5 linked regions of the Danio rerio genome follow. Each later gene encodes a partner of the first gene's protein in a complex. Links are inferred from orthologs where the notes say so. Each region holds a gene or a part of one and is shown on either strand. Other genes may lie near its edges.

What was found.
Region 2: taf4a (region 1) and taf6 share a complex: the UniProt entries of both Homo sapiens proteins name them as parts of the TFIID basal transcription factor complex. The link is inferred for Danio rerio from reciprocal best matches to the Homo sapiens genes TAF4 and TAF6.
Region 3: taf4a (region 1) and taf11 share a complex: the UniProt entries of both Homo sapiens proteins name them as parts of the TFIID basal transcription factor complex. The link is inferred for Danio rerio from reciprocal best matches to the Homo sapiens genes TAF4 and TAF11.
Region 4: the proteins of taf4a (region 1) and taf12 are in contact, whole or in part, in a crystal structure (PDB 1H3O), measured with the Homo sapiens proteins. The link is inferred for Danio rerio from reciprocal best matches to the Homo sapiens genes TAF4 and TAF12. Residues at the interface, in NP_003176.2 of Homo sapiens: Phe872, Leu873, Leu874, Pro877, Leu878, Arg880, Arg881, Ile882, Ile885, Gly886, His889, Gly890, Ile891, Thr892, Glu893, Leu894, His895, Asp897, Val898, Tyr901, Val902, His904, Ala905, Thr906, Gln907, Gln908, Arg909, Leu910, Gln911, Leu913; in NP_001128690.1 of Homo sapiens: Val57, Leu58, Thr59, Lys62, Leu63, Leu66, Val67, Glu69, Val70, Glu74, Met83, Leu84, Ile87, Ala88, Asp89, Phe91, Ile92, Glu93, Val96, Thr97, Cys100, Ala103, Arg104, Ser108, Ser109, Thr110, Leu111, Glu112, Val113, Lys114.
Region 5: taf4a (region 1) and kat2a share a complex: the UniProt entries of both Homo sapiens proteins name them as parts of the TFTC-HAT complex. The link is inferred for Danio rerio from reciprocal best matches to the Homo sapiens genes TAF4 and KAT2A.

What each region holds. Positions count from the first base shown.
Region 1 is NC_133186.1:23,088,298-23,094,615, forward strand, and holds the start of taf4a (transcription initiation factor TFIID subunit 4), read right to left. Parts: upstream 4,289-6,318; 5' UTR 3,769-4,288; coding exon 3,072-3,768; intron 1-3,071. UniProt on the Homo sapiens protein: The TFIID basal transcription factor complex plays a major role in the initiation of RNA polymerase II (Pol II)-dependent transcription.
Region 2 is NC_133180.1:58,921,999-58,928,433, forward strand, and holds the start of taf6 (transcription initiation factor TFIID subunit 6), read left to right. Parts: upstream 1-2,197; 5' UTR 2,198-2,371; intron 2,372-6,435. UniProt on the Homo sapiens protein: The TFIID basal transcription factor complex plays a major role in the initiation of RNA polymerase II (Pol II)-dependent transcription.
Region 3 is NC_133198.1:379,023-385,321, reverse strand, and holds the start of taf11 (transcription initiation factor TFIID subunit 11), read right to left. Parts: upstream 4,088-6,299; 5' UTR 3,739-4,087; intron 2,700-3,738; 5' UTR 2,635-2,699; coding exon 2,476-2,634; intron 2,390-2,475; coding exon 2,244-2,389; intron 2,145-2,243; coding exon 2,057-2,144; intron 535-2,056; coding exon 438-534; intron 1-437. UniProt on the Homo sapiens protein: The TFIID basal transcription factor complex plays a major role in the initiation of RNA polymerase II (Pol II)-dependent transcription.
Region 4 is NC_133191.1:38,665,509-38,671,462, forward strand, and holds the end of taf12 (transcription initiation factor TFIID subunit 12), read right to left. Parts: intron 5,141-5,954; coding exon 5,063-5,140; intron 3,778-5,062; coding exon 3,663-3,777; intron 2,152-3,662; coding exon 2,063-2,151; intron 1,984-2,062; coding exon 1,948-1,983; 3' UTR 1,178-1,947; downstream 1-1,177. UniProt on the Homo sapiens protein: The TFIID basal transcription factor complex plays a major role in the initiation of RNA polymerase II (Pol II)-dependent transcription.
Region 5 is NC_133178.1:16,337,316-16,343,112, reverse strand, and holds part of kat2a (histone acetyltransferase KAT2A), read right to left. Parts: intron 5,282-5,797; coding exon 5,100-5,281; intron 3,962-5,099; coding exon 3,770-3,961; intron 3,682-3,769; coding exon 3,575-3,681; intron 1-3,574. UniProt on the Homo sapiens protein: Protein lysine acyltransferase that can act as a acetyltransferase, glutaryltransferase, succinyltransferase or malonyltransferase, depending on the context.

The sequences.
Region 1 (6,318 bases):
TCTTTATGCCAATCTTTGAATTGTATGAATCGGATCAGCGGATCAAAAGTTATTAAACATTTAAGAGCAATACTTATTTTTAGCCGCGGGCGGCTGTCTCGGTCTTTAAGGGTTAAAACCGTTGATATGCAATTGTTCATGGTATTATAATCGTGCACATTCAAATCGTGGTAAACCGTCATACCGGTATATTGTTACAACCCTATCGCCCTTACTTAAAAACCAACATCTGCAACATCTCTATCTCTAGTGGAGGTGTCAGTGTCAGTATATGGTTAAAAAAACACTATAGTATTTACTATAAATTACTTTAGTATATGTTAATGTGGGTGTCTGATACAGTAACTGAAACAATCTGGTAGCAGATATCGCAGCCTCTGTTACTTTTTACCTTGCACTTTTTTGATAACATTTATTTTTATTTTGTAAGATATGCAGTTTCACATTCTGATTCAAATGCCTAATTATTTAATTTCTCAATAATTCAATTAAATGAAGTTTGTTCATAAACTAATTTCGAGAGGATCACTTGCTTATGATTTATCACGGCCGGTCTCGTATTTGCTAATCACTATCTTCCAATCATATGAGTCCTAAGCTACTATAAATAACCACAGTTTTCAGTTAATTTTATCTACACTTGGAAGAAACCCCCCTTCCTCCCCTATTCTCCTCCTTTACCACTGATCAGGCAGCACGGAGGCCCAGTGGTTAGCACTGTGAGCCCCACAGCAAGAACACTGCCGGCCCTGGTCCCACCAGGCCGGTCGGTGTTTCTATGAGGAGTTTGTATATTCTCCCCGTGTTTCTCCCCGATGTCTCCGGTTTCCTTCACCATCCAAAGAAATATAATGTGTTTTTCAAAAGAGTGAACTTGCATTGCAATGCTATTATATTGTCATTTGGCATTTTATAATGAGTGGCAAAAAATAGATATCGTATCGGCCTGATGCAGAGTGTATGATTTATATTAACAAGGTAGAAAAAAATTAAGAGACCTTTTCAAAATAATTTTCAAGTCTCTGGATTTACCATTAATAGATGCAGGTTTTTATTAAAATGTTTATTTGGGTTTTAAATTGATTTTATGAAATACTCATAACCTCAAAATTAAAGATATCATTTAAAACATTTTTTGCAGAAAATTACAATAGGTGAAAGAAAAATATTCCATATTTTCAGACCTTAAATGTGTAACATACATATGATACGTTGAATGCGATGTTTGCAATAAAAACCCAAAACCTATAAAACATTTTTTTTTAATTATAGGTATAAAAATAATTATAAAAACAATCAAAACATATTCGGTAACATTATATTGCAACTGTTTATATTTTCCAAAACAACTAACCACAGAGTTATGGGTAGGCATGGGACGATAACCGGTTTCAAAGTTTACCGCGGTTTAAAAAAGTCAAGGGTTTAATACTGGAAAATGTTTCTGCTATACTGTTCCTAAGGTATGTATAAGTTTTTTTACGTGTTTTTACACATTTTTTTATAATTTCTTAGAGCAATAGTATCTTTAGCAGAAAATGACCCTCCAAAAATGCCTTTTCAAGTTGTAAAGAAATCTGTGTTTTTTAAAAAAAAAAAACTATTAAACCAGCAGAAGTCAAATAAAATATATTGTGCTTAATGGGGAAAAAAGTTGTTGTTTTTCACAAAGACATTTAAAAAAAACATGAAACTGTGAAATTTTTATCCAGGTTTTTTTTTTTTTATATCGTCATACTTATACCGGCCCATGCCTAGTTATGGGATAAGAAAAATATCAATCTGTAAACATATTCTATATTTTAAATGGGAAAATAAACATGCATTATGGATGTGACCAAAAAGGTTTACAGTACACAGCACACTTTGTAAAAATTCTGTGAATTAAACTGCACAACCCAAAAGAAATAATGCTAATCAAAAGAATAAGAGTTGGCCCACTACAGAACAAAAATGATTAATTTTATTTGACATTTTTGCATTTATGAGTAAAAGGCTTTGTTATGTATGTGACACTTTTCAATTATGGATGTGACAAATGTGAAATTGCCAATTGTGTGACTTTAGTAAAGCAAATAAAATAGTTTGAAACACTGACAGAGACATGTTTGAGTATTACTATTAAATACTTGCTTACACTGAAAAAAAGTGTAAAAACGGTTTCTCTATTTAAGTGAAAACTTTATTTCTTTCATGGCAAGGTTGACATTTGCATGGAATTGCTTATATATGTGAAATACCAGAGCTGTATATACTTTTTTTGTGGTTGTGAAGTAATTACCTACACATAAGCGTGAGTGCAGACAAGGCACTTGTAAGAAAGTAAAAGAACAAGGCTGAAGACTGAACAGTGCTGACTAAAATTACCCAAATGGATGGTCAGACTACACTTCTTGTTAGATTTACATCTATTATTGTATATGAATGCTGAAGACTGGAATCACATTTAAGAAAGAACTTTGGTGAACTCTGACCCTCAAATTTGTATAATCTGAGATGTGACCTCAGATGACTTTGTACATGAATTGATACAAATGTACATGAATGAAGAGTAGCTTATTTTATGAATTATTGATATATATTAGAGCAAATTAAAAAATATGCCACAGAGTAAATATTAATAATTTAAATTAAAATATAGTTAGTTTTTGACTAAAAAGCATGGAGAGGACTTTAACATCAATTTGCTTTCAATCGACTTATAAAGACACAGTTCACCCAAATATTACTAATAATCATGTTGTTGGAAGTCTGCAGGACTTACTTCTCTCTTAATAGAAAGAAAAGTCACAAAGAATGTATGGAGACTGAAGCTGTCAATATGTCTGACAGCTCCTATTGAAGAAAGCGAGTTAGGCATGTTCGGAGTGTGTTTTAGATAAACTAACTTTTAATTACACTCTAATGAAGATATACTTTTGTTTTATGCACTTATTTTTTTCAGTTTGCAAGTATTTCAGGAGAGAGCAAACTTCACACGAAACCAAAACACTCCTCGTAAGTTTCTCTATACACATATCATGTCATTCCAGACAACATTCAGGGAAAGTGCTAATGTGAGCGTGGGGTACCTGGAGGTAGCTGGATATTCTGGATGTTCTGGCCCGGGCTGCTCTGAGGGAGTCGGGGCGCTAACACCTGTGGCGCGCTGGCCCTGATGGTCGGGCTAGATGATGCTGATGCTGCTGCAACAGTTGCCGGAGCTGCGGTTCTCGCAACCCCCTGCAAAACAGCCCCCTTGGCCACTGCAGGGCCGACAGTCATGCTGCCTGCGGGCTGGATGATAGTTTTAGGAGACTCGGACTTGCTCGCGGTGACAGGTGCAGAAGTCTGGTTCAACAAAAGAGGGGTCGTTGTAGTAGTAGAACTAGTAGTAGTAGTTGAAGTAGTAGTTATTCCCGGGGTCGCTACATTGGCTACAGAAATGGTGGTATTATTATTACTTCCGTTAATAGTTAAACCTGCTCCAGCAGTTTGCATAGATGGCCTGACAACTGTCACTAAGGGTCCTGCACTGGATGCTGCGGCTGGAGGAGTCCCGAAAGAAGACTGTATCACTGTGTTTGGGCTTGGGGCGACCGTGACGTTTCCGAGTCCTTTCGCCACCCCGGGCCCGTTATTAACAACCGGGACAGAAGTTGAAGCGTCGTCTGACGATGATGATGATGGACCACTGGACACTGGAGTGCCGCTTTCAGTGTGCGGATCCATTGCATTGCCTCCGTTCAAAGTTTGCACTGTGGACGTCCCGATCAAAGTAGTTACCATAGCATTAAGAAAGACCGGATCGCCTTAGCTGTCTTCCATCTGTGCCTCTGGCACATCAGTTCAGGAAGTTTGGGTTTTCATCGGCTTTTCCCTCCAGTTGCTTTTCGAAGGAAACAAGCGTGAGTGAATGGGAGTCTCGTGTCACAATGTCAATAAGGATTTGACAAGCGCCCGTGTCACCTCAAGTCCATTAGTAACAATGCTCTTGGGAGAAATAATCATCTAACACACTTGAAGAGCGACTGCTTTCATTATGTTCATATGTACAAGAGCTCGCAAAATGTCAACATTAGCTAGTTGAATTGCCTCTTTTCCCGGAGTCAGCGGGGTGATTTTCCGGCTGCCTGGGCGCTTACCTCAAACTTATTATGGCAAGATGTGGAAACGTCTAATCTAATACAACCTGAAGTGTCGGTAAAAAGTTTCTTTCCCACTCTTTTAATACAGAAATCCTTATATAGCAGGTCAAAGCCTGCCGCCATCTTCGATGTGAACAGTGAGGAGCTTTGGATAAAATGACATTGCGCATGCGCGCAAAAGCGGAAACGTCATTACGCTGAAGTTTTGTGGAGCCGCCATTGGTGGTCTCCGTGCGTGGAGGCGGGACATGAGAAACGTCAGTTGATTCTGGCGGAGCGCGGTCAGAGTCGGTCTGTCATCGAGAAAAGGGCCTTGTGAAGTTGAAAAACAACCGTTGAATTATACGGGCGCTGCTCTCGGTTGTGTCTAGAGGCACTTATAGCTGTTATGTGCGGGTTATAAAGCATGTAGAGGCTGTTGTGTGAACTTCACAGCGGGCTGTCTTCCCCCAAGATGGCCCCGTGTTTTGAAGCGTCTGTGTTGAAAGCGTGAAAAGGCGCCACACCTCTGCCAGCGTGACTGGCCATAGAGGGCACGCGTGCTACTGCAGCCATAGTTCACAGGGTTTCTGGTCACACGCTCAATCTTCACTTTAACTTATGCTACACTTTTTCTGTCAATGTGCACAGCGTTGCATCGGGATAAAAAGTCTGTATTTTGCAAGCACGTTATAAATAAAATATGGCTGATTAAATAGTCAACGAAGTGACAGAAAGAACCAATAGAAAGCTCTTTCTTGAACCAATAGTACCTAATTTTTTTCTAACATAATGTGAGCTGACACATTTGCTCTCAAAAGTCCTCCCTTATTTTTATAGGTGTTTTTTTTTTATAATTTGATAACATTTTGTTAAAATAGCAATTAATGAAACTTATATAAAAAACTTTATTTATCTGTGGTTGCCACAGCGGAATAAACCTACTTATCCAGCATGTTTCACGCAGCGGATGCCCCTCCAGCTGTAAACCCATCACTGGGAAACATTCATACTCTCTCTCATTCACACTTATACCCTACTGACAATTTAGCTAACCCAATTCACCTATACCACATGTCTTTGGACTTGTGAGGGAAAACCAGAGCACCTGGAGGATACCAACGTTAACATGGGGAAAGCATGCAAATCCCACACAGAAATCCCAACTGACCCAGCTGAGGCTCGAACCAGTGACCTTCTTGCTGTGAGACGACATCGTTAAACAAGCATCACTAAATATTAGTCGTGTTTTTCTGGTTGTTTTCACTATTTCTAATCATTTCAATTAAGGATGAGAACTTTAACACTTAACATCTATACCAGTGTACTTTACAACTACTTTAATTTACTAATTTAATTAGTTTAATTTTTTAATAATTAAAAAACTATTTAGATACACAAGCATTTTATTGGTATTAATTTTGCACTAATCAATATCACCAGTGAATCAGTAAACAAGTATGAGTTTTATAAAAAAAAAGGCAGATCAGATCAATGTTCATAAAGGTCGCTGATGATGTGTGGTCAACGTTTCTTTCATTTCTGATTTGAATTAAATAATGTTTATGTCATCGCGTAATCTGCTAGATTGAATGGAAAAAATAAACATAATGCTCTGGAGCAGTTGGTTCTTCTTGTATTTACAGTATACAGTGCATCCGGAAAGTATTCCTATCGCTTCACTTTTTCCATTTTATTTTATGTCACAGCCATATTTCAAAATAGATTAAATTAATTTGTTTCCTGAAAAATGTACACACAATACCCCATAATGACAATGTAAAAAAAGATTTTTTGAAATTGTTGCAAATTTATTAAAAATAAAATACCTGAAAAATCACATGTACACAAGTATTCACAGCCTTTGCTCAGTACTTTGTTAATGCACCTTTAGGAGTGATTCCAGCGTCAAGTAATTTTAAATGGGATGCTACAAGCTTGGCACACCTGTCTTTGGGAATTTTTGCCCATTCCTCTTTGCAGTACCTCTCAAGCTCTATCAGGTTGGATGGGAAACAACGATGTACAGTCACTTTCAGATCTCTCCAGATATTCAATAGGATTTAGAGGTCTGGGCTCTGGCTGGGCCACTCAAGGACACTGAAGCTGTCTTTTATTAAGGAATTTTGGAAGAGAAGATAAAAGCATGATTATACCTAAACCATAATTAATTAATATAATTTTCTTATGGCAAAACATTTAATGATAAAAA
Region 2 (6,435 bases), on another chromosome or scaffold:
AACACTACAATACAGTAATTAACTGTACACAGTTTCCAGTTAGTTACCACTGCTGCTCTATTACAGTAATTAACTGGCAACACTGTTGCCAGCTACTCAATGTATCGGTTCAGTTACAGTAAAAAACTGGCAACACTGTTGTCAGCCACTCACTGTAATGGTTCAGTTGCAGTAAATAACTGGCAACACTGTTGCCAGCCACTCACTGTAATGGTTCAATTACAGTAAATAACTGGCAACACTGTTGCCAGCCACTCACTGTAATGGTTCAGTTACAGTAATTAACTGGCAACACTGTTGCCAGTTACTTACTGTAACCGAACTTTTACAGTGAGTGGCTGGCAACAGTGTAGCCAGTATTCTACTGTAAAAAAAACCCGATAAGGTCTAACAGTGTACTAATTTTTGTTCATATAGCTATACGTTACCATTTATATATTATATATACTTTTATATATATATTATATATATATATATATATATATATATATATATATATATATATATATATATATATATATATATATATATATATATAAGTTTGCATTGTATGCATTCAAATTGTTTATCACTTATTGTTTCATAATATTTATTGTTACCATTTTTTACAAAGAAAAAAATTAAATATGCTAAATATGGGAAAGTCAGGATCGCAATTTGTAGCAACAAATAACAAAAAATGTTAAATAATAATGACTTGGTAATTTGTTATACCTTAAGTTATAACTCTTAAATCATAAATCAAGTTAAAAAATATATTTTTATATGTTTTGCATAGGTCCAGATAATATGTAAAATGGCATGAAATGCTTTTTTTTTCTTTTCATTTTCCATTCCTCACTTTTCTGAGGATTAAGAATTTTTAGATATTTGGACTAAAACCAAATCAGAAACTCTTAAGTAAGAAAAGGATTTTTTGCAGAGTATTTATACACATTTTTTTTTTTTTTAGTGAGCATTAAGAATTTTATGCAAGGATTCAGCTTCATTTAAAGACAACTGGCAATCTCTAGAGATATTGTTGTCAATAAATAAATGTAAAAAAAATCTAATGTTGTCTAGGTTTTTGATTGTCAGGTAGCTAAATGGTCCTTGAAATTTTAGAAAGTAGTAAATTGTTTGTCTAAACGTTCTGCAGCTGTCTGGTAGTCAATACCACTGCATTCTTATCACAGCACATCATTACGCCATATTACACTGTATTGTACGGTTATAATTGTGTTATTGTCAAAATGCAACTTTATATATAAACAATACAACAAATTTCATCTCTCTATATAAAAGCGTATAACTAGGCTACAATTAACCATTACACTTTCCAACTATTTGTGTTTTGAATTTTTCTTATTAGATTAATCTAAATTAATTTGCCAGTGGGCTTTTGCATAGCTGAAATTGTTTGGTGAGTGTATCAGTTCTGCATATTCTCTAGTGAGTTTATAACTCACTTTCTGATAAATTAACTTAGCGTTCTTATTCAGCGTAATCTAATGAAAAAAAAAAAAAAATATATATATATATATATATATATATATATATATATATATATATATATATATATATATATATATATATATGTGTGTGTGTGTGTGTGTGTGTGTGTGTGTGTGTGTGTGTGTGTGTGTGTGTATTTATGAACAGGACATTTAATAATCTGGGAGAGTAGACTTCAAATGTATTGTTTGGCCATGTATCTTCCATCCCCCCTACTGGACGCATTAGGAACAACAGCGGCGTAAAACTGTGGCGTGTAAAATTGCCTGAGCCGTAAAACTGCCTAGATCCAAGTCTGCAGATGTCCCATATAGGGGTCTGCAGCTTCCCCTTACTCGCCGCTTCACCCAACCCAACAGCAGGGGCACTGTCTGGTCTGTCTGTGCGCGCTAGTCTGAGCGTGCAGTTGGGTCTCCGGGCCTGCAGCTTCCCCTTACTCCACTCGGGCGAGGCGGTGTGGTGAGAAATCGAGTCCCCCTGCAATCGATTCCGAGGCAGTCTATGTCATGAAAGATGCATAAAAATGAACCTATATACACTGCTTCTTCTGCATTAAATATTTGCTGAATAATTTGTAAAACGTTCATTTATAACTATTCTTTTATAAAGTGTGTTTAAAACATGACGCTAATATGAGCTTGTAAAAATATACGTGCGATAACGTCACATTTGTTTTAGGACCTTTCAGCAGATTCAAAATGGCGAATTTTCGGAAAAATGGTTCGGAACTAAATGGGCTGTGCAAAGTATTAACAAACCAAACAAACAAATAAAAACACAAAATTCGTATTATATAATACAGAGGATTTACCCGTTTTGTTTTATTGTTTTCAAAGCGGCAGCTTTAAATAGACATAGCTGCAACCTCCTTTTGAAGGTAAGAAAGACATGCTGTTCACTTTTGCTTTTGTGCACGTTTATTACAGAGAAGCATGATCCAGTCGTACATTAATAGCCTTTCGACACACACACACACACACACACACACACACACACACACACACACACATATATATATATATATATATATATATATATATATATATATATATATATATATATAAACAACGCAGGTTTATGTAGCGGTAACGCACAGACAACGTAGTTTATTTACTTCTTTACTTCTGAGTATTTGATCAGTAACGTTAATTACATGGTCTCAAATAAGCAATGCAAACTCATATTGATTCTAGTAGAAATACTAAACTATTTTATAATTTAGAGTTTGAGAATTTATAACAGGGCAACGCTGTGGCGCAGTAGCAAGAAGGTCGATGGTTCGAGCCTTGGCTGGTTAAGTTGGCATTTCTGTGTGTAGTTTGCATGTTCTCCCCGTGTTCGCATGGATTTCCTCCGGGTGCTCCGGTTTCCCCCACAAATCAGGTGAAATGGGTAAAGTAAAATTTTCTGTAGTGTATGTGTTTGAATGATAGTGTGGGTGTTTCCCAGTGATGGGTTGTTGCCTGAAAGGGCATCAGCTGCGTAAAACATGTGCTGAATAAATTCGTGGTTTAATCCGCTGTGGCGACCCCTTAATAATAAAGGGACTAAGCCGAAAAGAAAGTAAATAAATGACTGATCTTATAATACATAGTAATAATTGGACATTTTATAGAGTTATTATAGTACTTTTACGATTCCTAGTAGGATGCAAAGCTGTTCTCTGTTAAGAAGTGTAGCGTTACGCAAGTTTGGGAAGTTTTTCTTTTTTTTTTTTTTTTTTACAAAATACATGCTTTAAATAGTTATCAATATTATACATTTTTATTTAGCAACTTACTCGAAATACTTAAGAATATGCATATTTTAAGCTAATTAATACAAATAAATAGGATTCCATGCAGTTTTATGCTGCATTCCAAGCTTTAAAACGAATCCAAATACACAGACACAACTATTCTAAAAATAGCCAAAACAACCATCATAATTCTTCAAGTTATAAAAAATAATTGGGTAATTTCTACAGAAACATCTATTTTTAGCATGGCAATTCAGACAAGATGTTTAAACATTTATTTCTTTTTTAACATTTAAACTTAGACCACATTATTCAATTTCTTTTTACAGAAGGATATCCAGGACAATTTTTAATATGTGGATGCATAAATTTTGACCCAATCCAAATGTAATAGCAAGTTGCACATTTGCAATTGCATTTCCACTTTTGTGAACGCGCAGTGACTGCCACATTTCAAATAAAAAAAGAAAAGTCCATTTGAAAAATGCATTTCCCATGTCTTACGAGCTATGGGCCTGACATATCTGAACAGCTATATTAATTGCTTCACTTTCTTTTTTATTAAGCTAGAAACAAGAAAAAAAATGACAACATAAAATATTTGCTTTATCACAAACTGTAGTAGCATTATTGGTAATAAATATTGAGGCAACAGAGGCAACGTATATAAGCTAGCTTGAAAAATTGTTTATTAAATATAGATTGTATAATTTGAAAACATGCAGTAAAATCATAATGGTTTTACTTTGCAAAATTATGCTACATACAGTACATGTAAATCACACTACAAGATGGCTAGTAGATGGAGCTTACAGATCAGTAATAATCCCATCATTATGAAATTTGCTGAATCACAAGTATATTGAATTAAGCCCATTTATACATAACGTTTAGATGTTTGATAACTGCAAATAATGTCAGCATATATTTTGCTAATATTTTCAGATCTCTTAAAACAAACTACAAAAAATCGTTGAAACATTATTAGGCTACTATGAAACTTAAACCCGATTATTAATTAATTAATTCATTCATTCATTCATTCATTCATTCATTTATTCATAGTCTTTTCGGCTTAATCCGGGGTTGCCACAGCAGAATGAACTGCCAACTTATCCAGCACAATTTTACGCAGCGGATGCCTTTTAGGCTGTAACCCATCTCTGGGTAAAGCCTGGTTTAAACTTCTGCGTTAAGTGACCGGCGTGACCCACGGCGCATGCAACGGGTGTAGCTGTGCATTTATACTTCTACGCGCTGTCTCTTTTGATCTGAATTAACACTTCCGAAACGCTAGTTGGCAGTAAGGTGTTTATGTTCCTCTGTGTTGAAATTCTTCTCTGCTGTTTTGCTTTTCCTGAACACTTCCTGGATGTACAAGTGGCTTAAACTTGCTCATTTTGAGGCATCTTTTGTGCAGTCTGGGATTTGAGAAAGAGATGCGCGGGCTTTAAAGTGTCACGAAACACCAAAACACGTATTTTGAGCTGTTGACAGTCGTATATGTGTCCCACACTGCTAAAAACACTATTAGGACACCTATATTTCACCAAAAAGTGTAAATTGGTTGTTTTTGCGTTATTTTAAGCAAATTCGTACTTCCGGTTTGAAACGAATTTTTGAAGCTGCGTCACGGTCATGACATAATAGCGTTGTATTCCAGCGTGCAGACTGGGCGTCTGTGCCAGAGTGTGTCTTGTTACGTCTTACAGTGTGATGCATTAATGCATGAGTAAAGCTTGGTTCAAACCAATCAGCGCGCTCTATTGTGGAACTTTATTAATATTCATTACTGTCGTAGTGTTCAGACGGCAGAGACGCCACGTTGTGTTGGCAAAACAAGCGTGAAGTGTTGCTTTTATATCTTGCTGCCGTTAAGTTTTGTTTTCATTTTCTCTCTGTGAGAGCTCATCTGGATCACGCGTGGATTAACAGTGTACGCGACGCTCGACAACAATAACTTGCGTGTCTAAGGAGGATTATTGTTTACCTGAGAGCTGTTCTCATCTGCAAACGCTGAGATCCGGATTCGCTTGTAGTATTCTCTTCATAAAGACGCGGCTCTAGTTGCTGGGGATTGTCCTGTCTCTACAGATTTGGTAAGTGAGCGACCAGTGCTCTTTGTTTATTCAGTTTGTTCGTATCGAACTAAGTTAACTATTGCACCGAGTGCAAACATGTTAGCACCACAACCAAACTTTACCCTCGTGTAGGGTTTTTACGGCATTTTGTGACCAGAATAACACACGCGGCTTTCTGACGCTACCTGCCGTGTGCATCTAAGTTTCTGGAAAATGCTGAGTTTTTTTTCTCTCATTCGCCGTGCGGTATCAAACATTGCATGAAAAATACACGCTTAGAGCAGTTCCTCGAATCAAATATCTCGTTTGTCGCAAGAGGGCATGAATGAATTCCCTGAATGAAAGAGCCAAATTGCAGTTAAAGTCCACCATTTAATAATTCGACTACAGATGTCCATGTAGGGTAAATACCATCACTTTCTCCTGTGTGTGAGTATTTTGACTAAAACTCGCGCGTGCCCAAATAGACACTCCCACACCCTGCCACTTTAGTTCCTCAGACACTCCCCCCTAAACAGAGCTGGACACGCCCACTTTGCTGACTTTTTCCAAAGTAGAGGTGTGAAAACACCCTGCTGAAACGAGGGGGTTTTATGGCCCTTTAAGTCAGAACTATTAAATTCCCTGGCTTTCACTGACTAAAAACTTAATTTACATTATATCTAAAGAAATAGACTATTTATAGAAATAGACTATAGAATTTACAGACTGTTGTTGTGCTGTAATAATATTAAGAATATAAATATAATATTAATACTTTTCGGGATTTTTTTTAAACACAAATTGAGCCTCTCAAATTATTTTAAACATGTTTGATGCTGTTCAGGATTTTAAGTCGAGCTGATCACTGCTCTTATAACCTGCCCTCCAACCTACAGCCAATGAAAATATGACAACATAAAAATTTATTTGCTTATCGAAGGCTGTAATAAACTCATTTGCAATTAAATTAAAGGCAACCACTGCAGTAATGGTGATCCACATTGTAGTGGCCATTAGCATGCTTGAGTAATAGTTTATTTAAATTTTATTTATTATTTAAAAATATTAAATAAAACATAATTAAAAACCTATCTTGGCTTTAAATTACTTGAAATTATGCCACATTAATTACTCATCCAG
Region 3 (6,299 bases), on another chromosome or scaffold:
GAAGACAAGCAAGAGAAATGCATCACGGAGACGATCAGCAGAGCGTCATGGAGCTCTTCACAGCACTGTAATGATGTGTTTAACGCTCATCAGCATCTTAAATACGTGAACGTTTTAAATATTAAGAATATTTGTAAAGGTGTGCACATTTATATGTGTTTCTCTATGCGTTATGTCATCTGCGCATCAGTAACTGAACTCCCGCGTGTGTGTGTGAGGTGTGTGTAATGCAGGACAGGTAATCTGACAGTATTCTCTCCTCTGGCTGCCGTTATCAGTCTCACACTGTCTGAAAGTCTTGATGGTTAGTTTGAACTGACCACATTATATCTTACAGCACATTTACTGAACACAGATTGAGGTGAAGAGTTTGAGCTTTAGCTTTTGGACTAGAAACAAGACAAATAAGAGTGTCTGCAGAGCAGCGTGTCACTAACCTTCTTCAACAATCTCTCCAGCAAACACTTTGGCGATTCCGGACATGGCGATGACCACGTTTTGAGAGACCGATGATCCGGTGATGGACTGAATCAGCTGGAGGACAGAAAGAAATCTGTTTAACTCCAAGACAAAGAAGATGCATCGATAATCACACGCTCATGCACTATTCTGTGCTATTTTGAGGTATAATGGTGTATATAGTGCATTCAACTCACGTCTTGTACAAACAAACGAGTCAAAATGAAGTTAAAACAAGCAAAACAGTCTGCAAATCAAAGGAGTGAGCGAAATAATCTTGTTTTGCCTTTTGACACAAGATTACTCTGCTTGTTTTAATGAAAAACTCACTTCATTTTGACTCATTATTTCTGAAAATGTTTGATTCTTGTCTAGAAAACGCTTCTCGATTGAAGAATTGATTCGTTCTAACCAGTAATATTGAGCACATTTTAGCGTACAGTATAGTTACCAAACACAGACTGTGCAGTTACGCATAACTAAAGAGTCTTAGCTGGTGCTAACTCGCTTTTCAATGCAAGATAATTCAGAACGGTGGGAGTGATCTGTTTATTTGCTCCATCACAGGCTACAACTGTTCTTTCATCATCATCCACACAAAGATTTAATCAACATTAGTGTGGGCAGTTAATGATATAAAAACAGCCTGAATCATTAAAAATGATGATCTGTTTCAGTGAAATGATGCTACATGACACGCCTGCGCCTAAACTAATGCATCACTCACACTCAATATGAAAGAATTGATGGACTTCCAGCAGGGGGCGCCTGTAGACCAGCAGGAATAACATTCAGTTTCTTTTCAGCTTAGTCTCTTTATTAATCCGGGGTCGCCACAGTGGAATGAACCGACAACTTATCCAGCATATGTTTTACGCAGCGGATGCCCTTCCAGCTGCAACCCATATCTGGGAAACACTCTTACACACTCATTCACATTACATACAATTTAGCCCACCCAATTCCCCTATAGCGCGTGTGTTTGGACTGTGGGGGAAACCGGAGCACCTGAAGAAAACCCACACGAATGCCGGGAGAACATGCAAACTCCACACAGAAGCCCCAACTGAACCAGCCGAGACTCAAACCAGAGACCTTCTTGCAGGAATAACAATGCTGCCATTTTCTTTTCAGCTTTGTCCCTTTATTAATCAGGGCTCGCCACAGCGGAATGAACCGCCAACTTTTTCAGCATATGTATTCAGCAACCCATCACTGGGAAACATCCATACACACTCATTCACACACACACACACGCATACACTACAATCAGTTCCCCTATAGCGCATGTGTTTGGACTGGAGCACCTGGAGGAAACCCACGCCAACACGGGGAGAACATGCAAACTCCACACAGAAACACCAACTGACCCAGCTAAGACTCAAACCAGTGACCTTCTTACTGTGAGGCGATTATGCTACCCACTGCAACACCATGTTGCCCAATATTCACAAATTAAACTTAGGCAGACAGCCACACACTGAATAATCCAAACAGACACAATATTTACCAGCTGTAAAAGACTTTAATACTTTCTCTAAACAGATTGATCAACTCTGAATTCTTTTTAAGACCTGTTTTTAATTTAAAGACTCACTCTTTTAATAGCTGCCTTAGGGAACGCCGAGCGCCTGTACATCTCATAGCGGTTCAGCTGCTCTTCAGAGAACGATGATACTAAAACTCTGAAACACAAACACGTCTATTAGTGTTATTATCAGTTTACAGCTACACACACACACACACAACACACACACACACACACACACACACACACAGCTCACTGCATCTTCTGGATTTCGTCTTCATCCACTTTGTGGCGTTTCTCCTTCTTCTTGTCGTGCGGCTCCACTTTCAGCTTTTTGGCAGGAGGAGGATGCAGAGATGAAGATCCCTCCTCCTCTTCATCACCAGCATCTTCAGCAGGCCTCTGAGGAACACAGTGATGCATGGTTGATTTATTTGCATGAGAATGAAACTGAATTCATTGAGGATGCAGAATGAAGAGGCAGAGACCTGACTGAGCGTCTTGCCCTCCTCTTTTACAGCAGTCTGTCCCGCAGCAGGGTCAGAGCTCTTACTGCTGCCCTCCGGACCCTCACTGGACCCCTCGCCCGGTTTGGGTCTGTCCACCGATGTGCCCGCTTCAGGTTTCACACGGGCCGGGTCTGCCATGATTTCAGCTGATGGATCAGGGAAAGGGAATGTGGAAATAATGGACACTGCTGTAGTGTGTTTATCTGCAACACATGAGCGGGAGTCCCTGATCCAATTACAACTGAGCACTGCAATAACACTGTTCTAACTCAGAGTGTCTGTTTCTAGTCCAAATATCTAAAATATCTCAAGAAGCCTTGCTTGTGTTTCATGATTGCAATATATATATATATATATATATATATATATATATTTTTTTTTTTTTGTAAGAATTACTCTGGATGAATACTATTGAATGTAAAAAAAAATTACAAAGATTACAAAAAGCAATTATGTAGAACAAATTGTCATATTACAAAAAAAGAGAGCAACCATTCATTACAATTTTTAAAAAATGTTTATATATATATATATATATATATATATATATATATATATATATATACATATATAATTTTAATGCACATGTATTTAATTAATTATTCTAATCAAATGATTATTTATTTGATTTTAATATTTAATTATATAATATACAATCTTTGAAAAGAGAGAGCAATTTGTTGTTGGTTTACAAAATTAAGAAAAAGATTTAAGGAACATTTAAGGGGAAAAAATGTGTAAACAGGCAACCATTGACTTATAATAGGAAAAACAAACCCTACAGAAGTCAGCGGTTACCGGCTTCTAGCATTCTTCAAAACATCTTCTTTTGTGTTCAACAGAAGAAAGAAACTCATAAAGGTTTAAAACAAGTAAAGCAAGAGTAAATGATGACAGAATTGTAATTTTAGGGTGAACTGTTGCTTACAATGTCAATACTGTCATTACAGTTTATAATTTAGTCTGTGTCTTCTATAAAACATATAGAGGTGAAGTTGGTTGTATATTCTGATATTCAGACATTCTCCTCAATATAATGTCAGAAAAGTATTGTAAATAGGGAAATGATATTAGCAGCAAATGACTATCAAAGTACAGCATTGTTCACAGTCAATTAGACAGTGTTAATGTTGTTTACAAGTCATACTTGCATGCTAATTCAGATCCAATATTCAGAGTAACATGCTAAACAATATAGAGACTGCTAAATGCACCAGTGTGCGGATATAAAACCTACTTTACCTCTAAATATCCATTAAGTCCCCATATATCATTGTTATTGATCGTAAACAACGCGATTAAACAGGGCTCTATCTAATGTGCATTAGCTGTATTAACGTTACACTCGGTCATCTTCAATGTAATGATAGTTTACTTTAGGTGAAAACGGTAACTTAACGATCATCGTAACTTACGATGCTATGTGTATTTGGGGCCGGATTTAACACTTGTTAGACAAAATAAAACCGTGAATTCATAAAAAAAATCAAAACATACCTAAGACCGACAACCGCGTTGAAAATAATGTTTAAAAACACAAAAATCCAACGAGTGTTCTCTGACGAGCGCCTCAGACCGACAAAGTAAACACGAGCATATCCGGTTAAACTACAAAATAAGAGTCCGCACAAGCGTGCACAGCCACGTCAAACACTTGGTGGCGCACAATACTATACATTAAAGCAGCGGTTCTCAGATTTCTTTCATCAAGGACCACCTCAGAAAAAATGTCTCTTCAAGAACCACCATAAGGAGCAGTACTGAAATGCAGAAGTGTAGTAGGCCCAATGAAGCAGCTCTGCACAGTTCAAAAACAAGGCAGATTAATTCCTATTAATACGAATATTTATTATTGTCAGCCACTTTAAACATTATAAATAGTTGAAACATAAACACTGTGCTTACAGTTACAAACAAACAAACAAACAAACAAACAAACAAACAAACAAACAAACAAACAAACAAACAAACAAACAAACAGGGACTAATAACTGATTTAATCCATCAAAATTCACTCGAGCTTTTAGTTTAATTGCAGAAACCCTTTAATTATTCATAATTATATATTTATTTGATAGATATTCACAAATGATTAAATCACATTTAATTATTTAAATGTACCCCTTGCATATAGTTAAAATTTTATGCTTATATTTAAATAATAATAATAATAATAGGCTAATTAATGATGTTATTTCAAATTATCCCATTTCAACTAAACGATATGTACCTAAAATGTCCATAAGGAGTATTTGTTTACTTTTTTATTTTATTAACTTGAGTAAATGTATTTTTTTATTTTTCACTGATTTGTTTGTTTGAATATATTGCCCATTTATTTATTTATTTTAATCAAATATTAATTACTTATTTGTTTCATTTTAATAATAAATATAATTTAATATATACAATGCAAATAATAGATATTTGCACTGATTATTTTAGCATGGTCAGGTTACATAAGTCAAATTGTTTCTTTTATTTTAAAATTGATTAAAATGATTTTGACTACTTGAAACCTAATTTTCAAGCCACTATTAATAACAATAATAATACGCATAATTCATACGAACTGTGGCCTCACAGCAAAAAGGTCTCTGGTTTGAGTCTCGGCTGGGTCAGTTGGTGTTTCTGTGTGGAGTTTGCATGTTCTCCCCGTGTTGGTGTGGGTTTCCTCCGGGTGCTCCGGTTTCCCCCACAGTCCAAACACATGCGCTATAGGGGAACTGATATAATGTATACAATATTGTGTAAACAGTAATTATACCCAGGGTTATTTTTATTAAAAAATGTGTGTGAATGAGTGTGTATGGATAATTTCCAGTGATGGGTTGCAGCTGTAAAGGCATCCGTTGTGTAAAACATATGCTGGAATCATTGGTGGTTCATTCCGCTGTGGCGACCCCTGATGAATAAAGTGACTAAGGCAAAGGAACATAAAAGAATGAATGAATAATAAATAAATCAGTAAATGGACATCACATTCAAACAGACGAATCAGTTTAAAATTAACAATAAAATATAGATGAAACAAAAGTAAATAAAACACTAAAATAAACATAATTACAGTATTATTATCTTGAGTAGAAAAAGATATGCAATAATATTAAAAAGTGCACATCATTATAGTGATTCAGTTTAAAGAAACTCCTGAAAAGGGCTGTAATTATTCCACAAATCCCCGATTAACAGTCACAGATTCTTCTTGTGCTAATATCAGGATACTCCACATAAAGCTTGAAGGGATATATGGCTCAGAATTAGTGATATTATTTATTAAATTGTTTATTAATTGTCTTTATTAATGTCCACCCCTACACCAACCCTCACAGTAATGTAAAACAATAATTATACCGAGCATTACACCTATTATTTATTAAATTACCCATTCAATTGTATTTTATTAACATCTACCATTACCCCAACCCTCCAAAATAATGTAAAACAGTAATTATACCGAGTATTATTCATTTAATTATTAAATTATCCATTTAGTTGTATTTTATTAACATCCCCCCCTCACAGTGATGTAGAAATATTGATGATTGTTGTACGGTGCTGTATTGATGTAAGAACCGCAGCTGTATCCCTTCTGGACTTTACACATAAATATATTTCAATCCCCTAAATGCGTCATTAGTGTAATTAAATGATTGTGCATAATAATTATAATTCTCGCGCGACGTCACCAAGGAGCGCGCCCGTCAGGAAGTGACGTGTCGAGCGGAGCCAGAGGAAGTTTGTGCGGGCGCTGGGAGAGAAAGTTTCCCCGGAGCTGAGGCGCTTGGAGCGGGAAGAATCCA
Region 4 (5,954 bases), on another chromosome or scaffold:
CCTGTACTTGATCGTAAAGTATTAACCTGTAGTATCCTATTCATCAAAACCTGAAAATGTTGCTTGGACCACTAGTGGTACGTGTACCAGTTTGAGAACCACTGAATTAGACAAAAAACAATGATCAAATACCCACAGTCCTGCTGCTTTCAAGAGCTCCAGATGTCTTTTTGCAAGCAGCAGCAGTTGCTGCTTTCGCTTTAACCATTCATTGAACAAATTATTAATGAATCTAATGTTAACCTTGTGAGTATGATCATCCTTTCATTGCCACAGATAGTTTTAGATACATGCCAATAATTCTTTTTAAAATGTCAATTGTTTTTTTGTTTTTTTAAGAAAAGTTTTGTTGAATCAAAAAGTGCATGTATATAGCTATATTTTGCTTGTTTTGACATATTATCTAAAATTAATGGCTATGAAATAATTATTTATTTTTGGTGTGGTCAGAGATAAATTTGGTAAATCCTTAGTGTTGAGCCCAGAAAAGTCATGTGAAATAAAAACTAATTGCAATGCGACACTATGAAGCCATAACTTATTTGCTCATGCACATCATGAGTTCATACACAACAACAAAAAAGTGAAATGAACAAGGAGGCATGTGGACATAACAAAAAGTCTAAATCAAATAATTTTAGCATGTCAAAGTCAAATTTATGCATATAAAATATATTTTCCCACCAGCAAAAATGTGGCTAGCGAAAATGGCAAGTGGCTAGTAACGTAGGAAAATTACTAGCCACAGTAGCTGGTGATCAAAAAAGTCAACGTCAAGCCCTGAAAATACTCCTTGTATCGAGTGCAGTTGCTTTTATTTAGAACAGTTTAAGTAAGCCTTTAGGCTCGACAGTCAGGCACATTGCTGTTGGTGTCATCAATCTGGCAACCTGCCCTTGCGTATGTTTTGAACCAGGAGCGCACTACCTAATTCACCCCACTGGGTGTCAAACTTACATACTGCACCTTTAAGAGCTTATCCTGAAGATTTATTAAAGGTATACTAACTTGTAAAGGTTTGTAGAAATATATATATATATATATATATATATATATATATATATATATATATATATATATATATATATATATATATATATATATATATATATTTTATTTTATTTTTATTTTTATTTTTTTCCAGTCATTTCTGTAATAATGTCATACACAACCTGACTGACTTTGGTGTGAATAAATCACAATTAGTTTTTTTTTTTATTCATGAAAAACAGGAGACTGTAAAACACTGTGATACATGACCAAAAAAAAACTCCACAAAAAGGTTTAAACCTGCCCGCAAACCCACAGCAGAAGGGGTTTGCGCACCATCACACATATATATCCCTCTCTAAACCAATTAAGATTTGGATTATTTCACTAGTTCCAATGCAATTAATTACACAGGGAAGTGGTAATCATCTCTCTGGTTTACCTTCAAAAAGTACCACGCTAGGGATTCCTCTATAGCACTAGATATTACTTAATTGACGAATTCTAGAACAGCAAACACTATAAACAAATCAGACACATGATGATTGTAAATGTGCATAGCTTCTAATGCCAGCTCAGCAAAAGATCTATGACTGCATAAAGAGTCTATACAAGAGATATATGAAAGGAAAATGTGGATTGTGGGTAATATAATAAAACAATTTATGTTTTTAGCAGAGCTTTGAGGGATTCTATTATATAATAAAACCCCAGGATAGCACCAAGGTGCCCAAAACAAAACGTTCACGTGGTGGTTTTAACGCAAAGTGAACTGTACAGACAAATTACAATAATTTCTGTGCACCTTCCAAAACGCGAAATGTCAACAGAACTGTACTGCAAACAGTACATCGCATTTTTTTTGCCCCTTTGATTACCATGACATGTATAGGTTCAAACCCTCTCCACTTTCCAAAACTTGCAGGGAAATAAAGTTTGTTGGTGATTCCAATCTTGCTACTTTTTGGTTGTTTTGCGGATCAGTGCCATTCTCTGAAAGAACAGAAATCATATTTAGTGAAGTGATTGTTCAAAATCATCTTTAGGTGATCGGTTTTAGTGCATGGCTGACCTGTTTGTGAGCTTCTGTGGTGCAAGCCTTCTTATACGGTCGGATCTCATCTGAGCCAAAACCAGGAATCCACATGTTCCACTGTCGTTCTGGAAATTGAAAATTTAGTATACTCACTATACAAGAGGACAGTTCTTAAAAATAGACATTCAAACTATGTGGGATAATTCATTTGAATGGTATTTAAATGAGAAGAAAAACATCTAACTCAAACTATAAAACAGCCTTAAAGGGATAGTTTGCCTAAAACTGAAGCGATTTTAGCTTTCTTCAAAATATCTTATTTAGTGTAAATAGTAAATAAATTTCTATTTTTGGGTGAACTATTCCTTTAAGTTTAATTATTCAATCGGTATTAAGATAAGAGGAAAAACATGTCACTCATTAATCACTATGAAATACCCTTAAAGGGATAGTCTGCTCAAGACTGAAAATTCTGTCATCATTTATTTATTTATTCTCAAGTGGTCCCAAACATTTATGACTTTCTTGATTTTGCTGAACACAAAAAGAAATCTTTTGAAGAAAGTTGGATACCTGTAACCATTGACTTAAATTGTATTTATTTCTCTTACTATGGAAGTTAGCGATTTCAGCTTTCTTCAAAATATCTTCTTTAGTGTAAACAGTGAATAAATTTCCATTTTGGGTGAACTATCCCTTTAAGTTTAATTATTCAAACGGTATTAAAATAAGAAGAAAAACATGTCACTTATTAAACGACTATAAAATACCCTTAAAGACATAGTTTGCATAAAAAACTCTTCTCAAGTGTTCCCAAACATTTATTACTTTCTTTCTTTTGTTGAACAAAAAAGGAGATATTTTGAAGAAAGTCTGAAAACTCTAACCACTGACAATCATATTAGGCATTTCTCTTACTATGGAAGTCAATGGTTACACATGTAACCCACCAGTCCTACTGCGCCCAACCTGCTCTGAGCTGAGATCGAACTGGCGATTCTTTGTATGGGAGTTGGTTGCTCTAAAAAGGAGACCATGACCTCTAGCGTCTGTCCTTAGAGCACCTTTAGAGGTTCAGAGGAATATGGTTTACCTGCTTAGCACTTTGCTAGCTGGCCTTCGTTACACTCACCCCCTAAACCTCACTTCCATCCCGGACGAGCCCCCAAGTGTAACCCACCAGTCTTATAGCACCCAACTCGCTCTGAGCTGGGATCTAACCAGCGATTCTTTGTGTGGGAGTCGGTTGCTCTAACAAGGAGGCTAAAGACCATGACCTCTAGCGTCTGTTGATAAAGCACCTTTATAGGTCAGAAGAGTGAGGTTTACCAGCGTAGCACTTCACTAGCTGGCCTTCGTTACAGTCAGCCCCTTAAACCTCACTCCCATCCTGGACGAGCCCCCATCTGTAGCCCACCGGTCCTACTGCACCCAACCCATTGAACCAGCATAGCACTTCACTTTGCTGGCCTCTGTTTCACTGGTTTTCATCTTTTTGTTAAAATATCTCTTTTAGTGTAAATAAGGAATACATTTCCATTTTTGAGTGAATTACCCTTTTAAAAGTGTACTTATTCAAATGTATTCAAATGAAGCACTCAAGTCCATGGATAAAATGATCATTTAAGATCCTCACCAAGGTGTAGCTGGACGTCTTTTACTTCAAGAGTGCTTGACTTCCTGTGTCGGGCCAGTTGGCATGCAGCAGTCACCACGCTCTCAATGAAGTCATCAGCTATCTGCAACAGCATCTGAAACAAATGGTCAACAGACAACACTGTAGTAACAGTAATGTTAGCATATCCTTCTACTGTTCTTTTTCATTTAGGCTGTAATCGCTAATAAAAGTAATGAAATAATAACAATAATTATAAAATGTAAAAATGTCATTTATTCCTGTGATGGCATTACTCAACTAATCTTCATTTTTTTCATCCTTCAGAAATCATTCTGAATTTGTTGAGTCTGTGCTCAAGTATGTTAGTTTTATCATCTTTAATTTTTTATGCATCATTTGATAAACAAAGCAGCATTTAAAAAAACACTTATTTATTTTTTGATGTTGTTGTTGTTGTTGTAATAGTGTTATTGTTATTTGAATTTGACAAAATCAATGCATTCTTCATAAAAAATATAATGAATTATAGTACAAATATAGTAAAAAAACACACACACACACACACACACACACACACACACACACACACACACACACACACACACACACACACACACACACACACACACACACACACACACTATAATGCATTATAGTACAAATATAGTATAGTTTAAATTCTTGAACTGACAAAAACAGATATTTCAGGTCTAATATACAGTTGCAATCAGAATGATTAAACCCCCTGAATCCGGAATTATTATCAGAGAGCAGTTTTTTTCAACAGATTTCTAAACATATTAGTTGTAATAAGTCATTTCTAATAACTGATTTATTTTATCTTTGCCATGATGTCAGTAAATAATATTTTACTAGATATTTTTCAAGATACTTCTATAGAGCTTAGTGACATTTAAAGGCCTAACTAGATTATTTAAGTTAACTAGGCAGGTTAGAGTAATTAGGCAGGTTGTTCTATAATGATGGGTTGTTCTGTATACTATAAATATATAGCTTAAAGGGGCTAATAATTTTGACCTTAAAATGGTGTTTAAAAATTAAAACTACTTTTACTCTTGCCGAAATAAAACAAATAAGACTTTCTCCAAAAGAAAATAATATTATCAGACATACTGTGTAAATGTCCTTGCTCTGTTAAACATAATTTGAGAAATATTTAAAAAAGAAAAACAAAATTCAACAGGGGGGATAATAATTCTGATTGCAACTGTACATCAACTGATTATTTCCCTAAGTGTTTTATATATCATTGCAATTAAAATCCCATTTGTTTCTCACAAACTCAACTATTTATTATTCAAGTGTGTTTAAAATGGTAATTTGGGCAACAAACTGACTAGTCAACAATGAATGTGTGAGAACACTTTTGAACATCATCAATAATAAGACACACGTACTTCTTCCACATCCTCATCAAGTTGCTCATTAGGGTCAATTTCTCGAACAAGGTCCTGCAGCTTCTTCTTACTGAGCACCTGTAGGGAGGACAATAAAAATACATAAATGTCAATATATTTTTAAATTGGCTTAAAAAAGTCTATTTTCACATATAGGTCTATCGCAAATATTGATTATTTGTCTGATCTTTGTTATTTGATCTACTTTCAGGTGTTGAAAACAGGTTTTTTTTTTTTAAATGAGGGAAATTAAGTGCATAAACAAATTAACATGCTTAATATACATTTTACCTGTAAATGACAGCTTGTTTTATTTCTGTGAAGACCAAACTAACAGAGAACCAAAGATCTTCTTTCCCACATATATTGTTATATTATAATATCATATAACATTATGATTGCTTGGTTTTATATGATTTTTTATTTTAATATAAAACGGACCAAGACTCAAAATTTTAACTAAAAAAATACAATTTGAATCTTAACATTTACCACACATTAATATAATTTAAATATAAATATAATTAAAATGGAATTTAAATTTAATTCTAATTTTTATATTATTTTCCATAGTTTTAAAGCCATACTGGCCTATATTTAATCATGTTTCAAAGCAAAATAAAAAGTATATATGTATATAAATAAATAAAATTATTCTAAACTGTTAAAAATCTAAATATTTTTAAAATTATTTGCTTGATTAGTAATCATCAACACAAAATTTTCAATCATGATAGGTATACTGCTACATCCAAAGCTACGGAAGAGTAGAAGTGCAAATCATGATAGATTGAATGAAGCAAAAATGTTTTGACAAAAATAGTCAAACAAATAGTTTTTAAAAACATTTTATTTAACGTTACACAGTTTATTATAGTTGCTACTTTTTATT
Region 5 (5,797 bases), on another chromosome or scaffold:
CAGATGCATTGCTGTTAAACTGCATAATCAAAACTACAGTGAAACACATTTTCAACAAAGCATGACCTTTTTGTGGTGTGTGACATATAGGTTTATGAATATAAAATGTCCGCAAAATTTAAAACTTTGAAATACACAATAAATACAATTATTTCCTCTTAAAAAATAAAAAAAAAAATGCCTAAAATGAGCCATCAGTAGTTTGTATTAAAAATAGGCATAATGGCAGCAAATGGTCATAAACAGTTTGTGTTGTTGACATTCTGAGAATGCAAAAGCAAACACACTTTGCATGCATTTTCAAATGATGAAGACTAAAACTGATTTGGTATAACTTATGGTACAACTGCGTATACAAAAAGATGCCGCCACTAGAGCTGAAATTCAGATAGGATAATAGACATTTTGTAACTAAGATTTGTTGTAATCAAAATAGTTTAGGTATATCCGATACTTTAACATATGAATAATCTAAGATAATTAATTTTTTTCCATTTTAAGCTGTCTGTTGAGTCTCAAATAAAATATTGTAGTGAAGACTGTTTTGTTCTCATAATACTGCTTTTTATGTTTATTATTTTTTTATATAACTGTATAGCCTCCTTTCCACTGCACACGACAAATGACAAGCGACAGACTGGAAGTCATTCATTTCCAATGGAGAGTAGTCCGGAAGCTGCGTGGAGTTCAGATTATCTCGGTATCTCTGTGCGGAATAATCAGATCCGAATTGAGATGCGGATCCGTTGACTTATTTGAACTCCTGAGACTATGTGTATATTAAGTGTATATTAAAAAATAAAAATAAAATTCTGTTGATAAATGTAAGTAATTAAGTAATAAAAATATATATTTTTATGTTGTCTCCACATTCCCTCCAATATTTTTAGCGGTGTATGAGTTTCTAGTATTCATTCATTCATTCATTCAACCATGGTGAATGCACAGAGAATATAAGCTCTTGCTTTTCCACTCCCTTATTATTTCGGACACTGCGAGAACAGCTTCTCTCCCATAGTCCAAGTCAGAACTGAAAATACTGTGCGACTGCCACAAGGGGGTGTATTCCGACAGTTGTTTCCAAATGTCGTGTGCAGTGGAAAGGCGGCTTCTGACTGATTCGATGGTTTTGTTGGCTGTATTTTTGACACCCCTGCTTTAAAGACTTGTGCATATTGGGCGGTTTATTGTGAACATTTAACACTTTGTGACTGAAATAAAGGTCGATAATGTGAGCGTGCATCTCAAAGCAAAAAACATCAGGCATTATAAATTATTATTATTTTTTATAATTAGAAAAAAACCTGAGCCAATGACAGGGCTCGAAATTAACTTTTTTACTTGGTAGCACCGGTGCTCCCAACTTCAAATATTTAGGAGCACCAAAAAATTTTTAGGAGCACCAGAAAAAATTTAGGAGCACCCACCAAAAATGAATGAGCACAGCTGCAAATTGTTTTTTAAGGGATTTATTGTACTTTAAAACAACATTAATAGGACTGACAAAAACCAGAAACAACTATCTAACTAATGCTGCAAAGACATTGATATTTGTGTGCAATAATTCCAAAATGAATGTCTAATAATTAGGCCATAGAATATTAATGATGATAAAAAATGACAATAGTAACAATGAATTCCATTTCTCATTATGATACTGCCTTGAATGTGCATGAATTATCTGCTATAAAAAGTCTGTTACTTTATGAAAAATAATTGTATAGTTTGCATTAAACAAAAATGAAGCATTGCAGTAAGAAATATTTATTTTGTACTGCTGTTTTGTACTTAGTAAAGGCGAGCTTCTTTGGCGATGATATGTACAGTATTAGATTTGACTTTTAGCGGACATTTGCGCTGAACACGCAGTGAATGCAAAGCATGGAGATTCGGGCGCCTTCTCTAAGAAGCGCGTACTCGATTGATCTCAGCTGGTGGATCATTACTCACCACGTGACGTGTCATGATCGCTCTCATCTGCGCCTCAACTTTAGGTGGGGTTTGCAAACCTGTGTGCTTTAAGTTAAGTTTTCACTCTTCAGCCGTTTGCATTTCCTGTGGTCATAAAAGCTCCTTCCATGTCATCTGACAGCGGAATACCTTGAGTGATTGACAGCTAATATGAACCAATATAGCGGCAGGGAAGAGCGATTCAGCACGTTTTTACAAAAAATCAAAACAGGTCGCACTACAACCATTATCTGCAGTCGCACTAATGCTCCCATATATATTATGAGGTCGCATAGATTAATTTTCGGGCGCATATGCGACCAAAATGGTCGCAATTTCGAGCCCTGAATGATATTGGCACTTTTGTTCCATGTCCTGAGCTGCTGTAGTTACAGTAAAAACCTGACTTGGTAGCACTCAAGTAAAAAAAGGTGTAGAAGAGCACACAGGAATTATCAAGAAGGATTCAATAGTGAGTTTCATTCCACTTCATTTTCTTTCTTAGCTTGTAACTTTTTTAAACAGGTATTTGTGTTGTAGTGAAGGGGGGAAAACAGAAGTGGAAAACCCTGTGCAATAAAGACCAGTTAAAAGCATGAGGGTGCTATCTTCTTCTGTGTAATAAGCGAGCGTCATTGTGCAGCGACACTATGTTTACTGGAGTTTTTTTTTTTTTTTTGTGGTGTGTAACGTCAAGAGTAATTTTGCACATTCACTCATTTCATTGCCAGTGAAAAATCACTTTGGCATGAATGTTGAAAAAAGTCTCAAAAAATACTGCCGATAATTACAATCGATTACAATACTTTTACCCTGGAACCACCAAAAACTATAGAGCCAGATCAAATTTCAAAAATAATATATTTACAAAATATTATTCATACTTCCACAACAAAAGTCACATTTATAAAATCTAATTCGCAAGATCAAAACACAAATTTTTTGTTCTAAATACATAAATCCGATTCAAAATACAAAACAATTCGTATACACCCAAATCCTGTTCATACATTTGAAACGATTAATAAATACGCAAATCCAACTCATAAGTTCAAAGCACGATTTGCAAAATACACAAATCCAATTTGTAAGTTCAAAGCACGATTCAAAAATACACAAATCCATATCGTAAGTTCAAAACACGATTCGTAAATACACAAATCCAGTTCATAAGTTCAAAGGACGATTCAAAAATACACAAATCCATATCGTAAGTTCAAAACACGATTTGTAAACACACAAATCCAGTTCATAAGTTCAAAGCATGATTTGTAATTACACAAAAACCAGTTCATAAGTTCAAAGCATGATTCGTAAATTCACTAATCTAATTCGTAATTCGAATACGATTCAAAAATACACAAATGCAATTTGTGTATTCAAATTTAAAACACGATTTATTAACAGATAAATCCAATTCATCCTGTAAAAAATATTTATGATTTGCGAGTTATATTTATCTTTATGAATGCGAGTTATATTTATCTTTATGAGTAGTATTTGTGAATTGTGCTTTGAATTTACAAATTGGATTTTGTGAATGTGAATTGTGCTGTGCAAGTTTTAAATTAATTTTGTAAATGTATTATTTTTGAAACTGATCTGGCTCCATAAAAACACACACCTGTTTGATGGCCCAGTTGTGTGCCCTCTGAGGCTGGCATGGTGAAGTCTGCCTCCCAGATGGGAGAGTTTTCTCCATAGATTTCCTCTTCCAACATGGAAAGAAACCTAACACAAACACACACACACACACACTCAGGATATGAGAGAGTGATAGTTTTGAAGTTTGTATTGATAACATGGTAACGTGTCTTACTTTGGAAAATGTGTGAGGATGAGGGTGCGTTTCTCTGGCGGCAGTTTGTCTTTCTCCACTCTGAACTTCTCCAGTAACTGTCTGCGGGTGACAGTGAAGATGGACTTCAGCAAACTGCGGCCGAACACCTGACAGGTCTCATACCGTGGCAAGCTGTCATTGCTCTGAGGAACGTGACAGTAACACAGCCACCTGAAAACACACACACACAGAAATAATAGTAATAAAACAAATGAACAGTAATTAGATTAATGACTCTGTATATTCAGATTAAGATAGACTCAAATTTGATATTTTATTGTGTTTGAAAGTCTCTAATCCTCACAGATGGTAAATACATAAATATTATGAAAAAGCATTACAAATGGAAATTGTTTTCTAATTCCCTATATTTTATTTACAATTGAACTTATTCCTATGTTGTAAATTTTCAGCTGCCTTCAGTGTAACATGATCCACATAAAATTTCCTTTCAATATGCTTATGTTGTGCTTAACTAACACTGTTATTAAATGTTAAAGCTTTATGTAATTAATAAAGCTTAATATTTCTGTGGAAACAAACTTTTCTTTTGGGATTTTCTGATGAATAAACTTCAAAACAACATATTTTTATGCATTAAATAGATATTTCTGTATTTTTTTTATATTTCAAAAGAATATAATATTCTGGGTCGGAAGCTGCAATAAGTTTGGGGAGTAAATCATTATAAAACAATATAAACAATTTAACTGTTCTAAATTATTGATTATTTTTTAAAAATGTGTACATTAATTTTTGCAAAAGGAAAAGAAAACTCAGTTTGACATTTGTTGTGATAGATGTACAATGGGTAAGGAAATTATTCAGACGGCCTTAAATTTTTCACTCTTTGTTATATTGCAGCCATTTGCTAAAATCATTTAAGTAAATTTTCCCTCATTAATGTAAACACAGTACTCCATATTGACAAGAAAACACAGAATTACTGACATTTTTGTAGATTTATCAAAAAAGGAAAACATAATATCACATTGTCCTAAGTATTAAGACCGTTTGCTGTGACTTAAGGGGGTCTGAATACTTTCCGTACCCACTGTACATTTGCAAACCTAATTTCAAAATAGTAAACTGACCATCTTTTTTGGTCACACATTAGATGTACTTGATAATGTAATAACAGTAAATGACTTCATATGAAATAAATCCTAAACATTTTCACATAGTAAATACATACAACATAGAGGAAATGAGATCACACTCTGTTCTATACCTTACGTGTGTGTGTGTGTGTTTATATTTACACATCCTACAAACGTGCATTTAGAATAGAACACAGTAACACAAGCACCTAGTATAATCGACTTTGTATGCCGCTGCGTCCTCTTTCTGAGCCCTCTGCCGAAACTGTGACGGTGTCTCCAGCTTCCAGTAGTTCAGACAGAGGAGAAACATCTTACTGAGCTCATACATGGTCTGCCTCTCTTTAGGAGCCAAATGACTGAACTTATACTGAACAAAGTTCAACACCCCCTGAAACAAACAAAGACAGGTTTTAAGAGAACATATTAGATTAATGAGATTAATATGAATATTATTAATAAGATATTTAAACACCGAGGAAGACAATCTGAAAAAATAATTGACTTCCATAGTATTTTTTTTAGTTCCTACCTATAGAAGTCTTGAAAAATTCTGAACCTTTTTTAACTGCAGAATGAAATTAATCAAAGTTTAAAACCACTTTAGTGCAAGTAATGGTTAGGAAATGTTCGTTTTTAGGTGAACTATCTATATATTTTAAAGACTGGAATCAGCAGAAGGCTTTACTTGTGAACTGGCCAGCTTCCTTATATACAACACACTAGTGGAGCCACAATACAGGAATTTCTAAATTTGATATGATACCTTAACAATGACCGATATTTAATGGAGAAATATTGCTACAATATAAATTTAAATGACAACATTTATGCATGTCTTCGTTTCTGCATTTGCCAAGTTAAAATGGCAAACATGGCTCTTTATTAAATATTGTCCAGTTAGGAC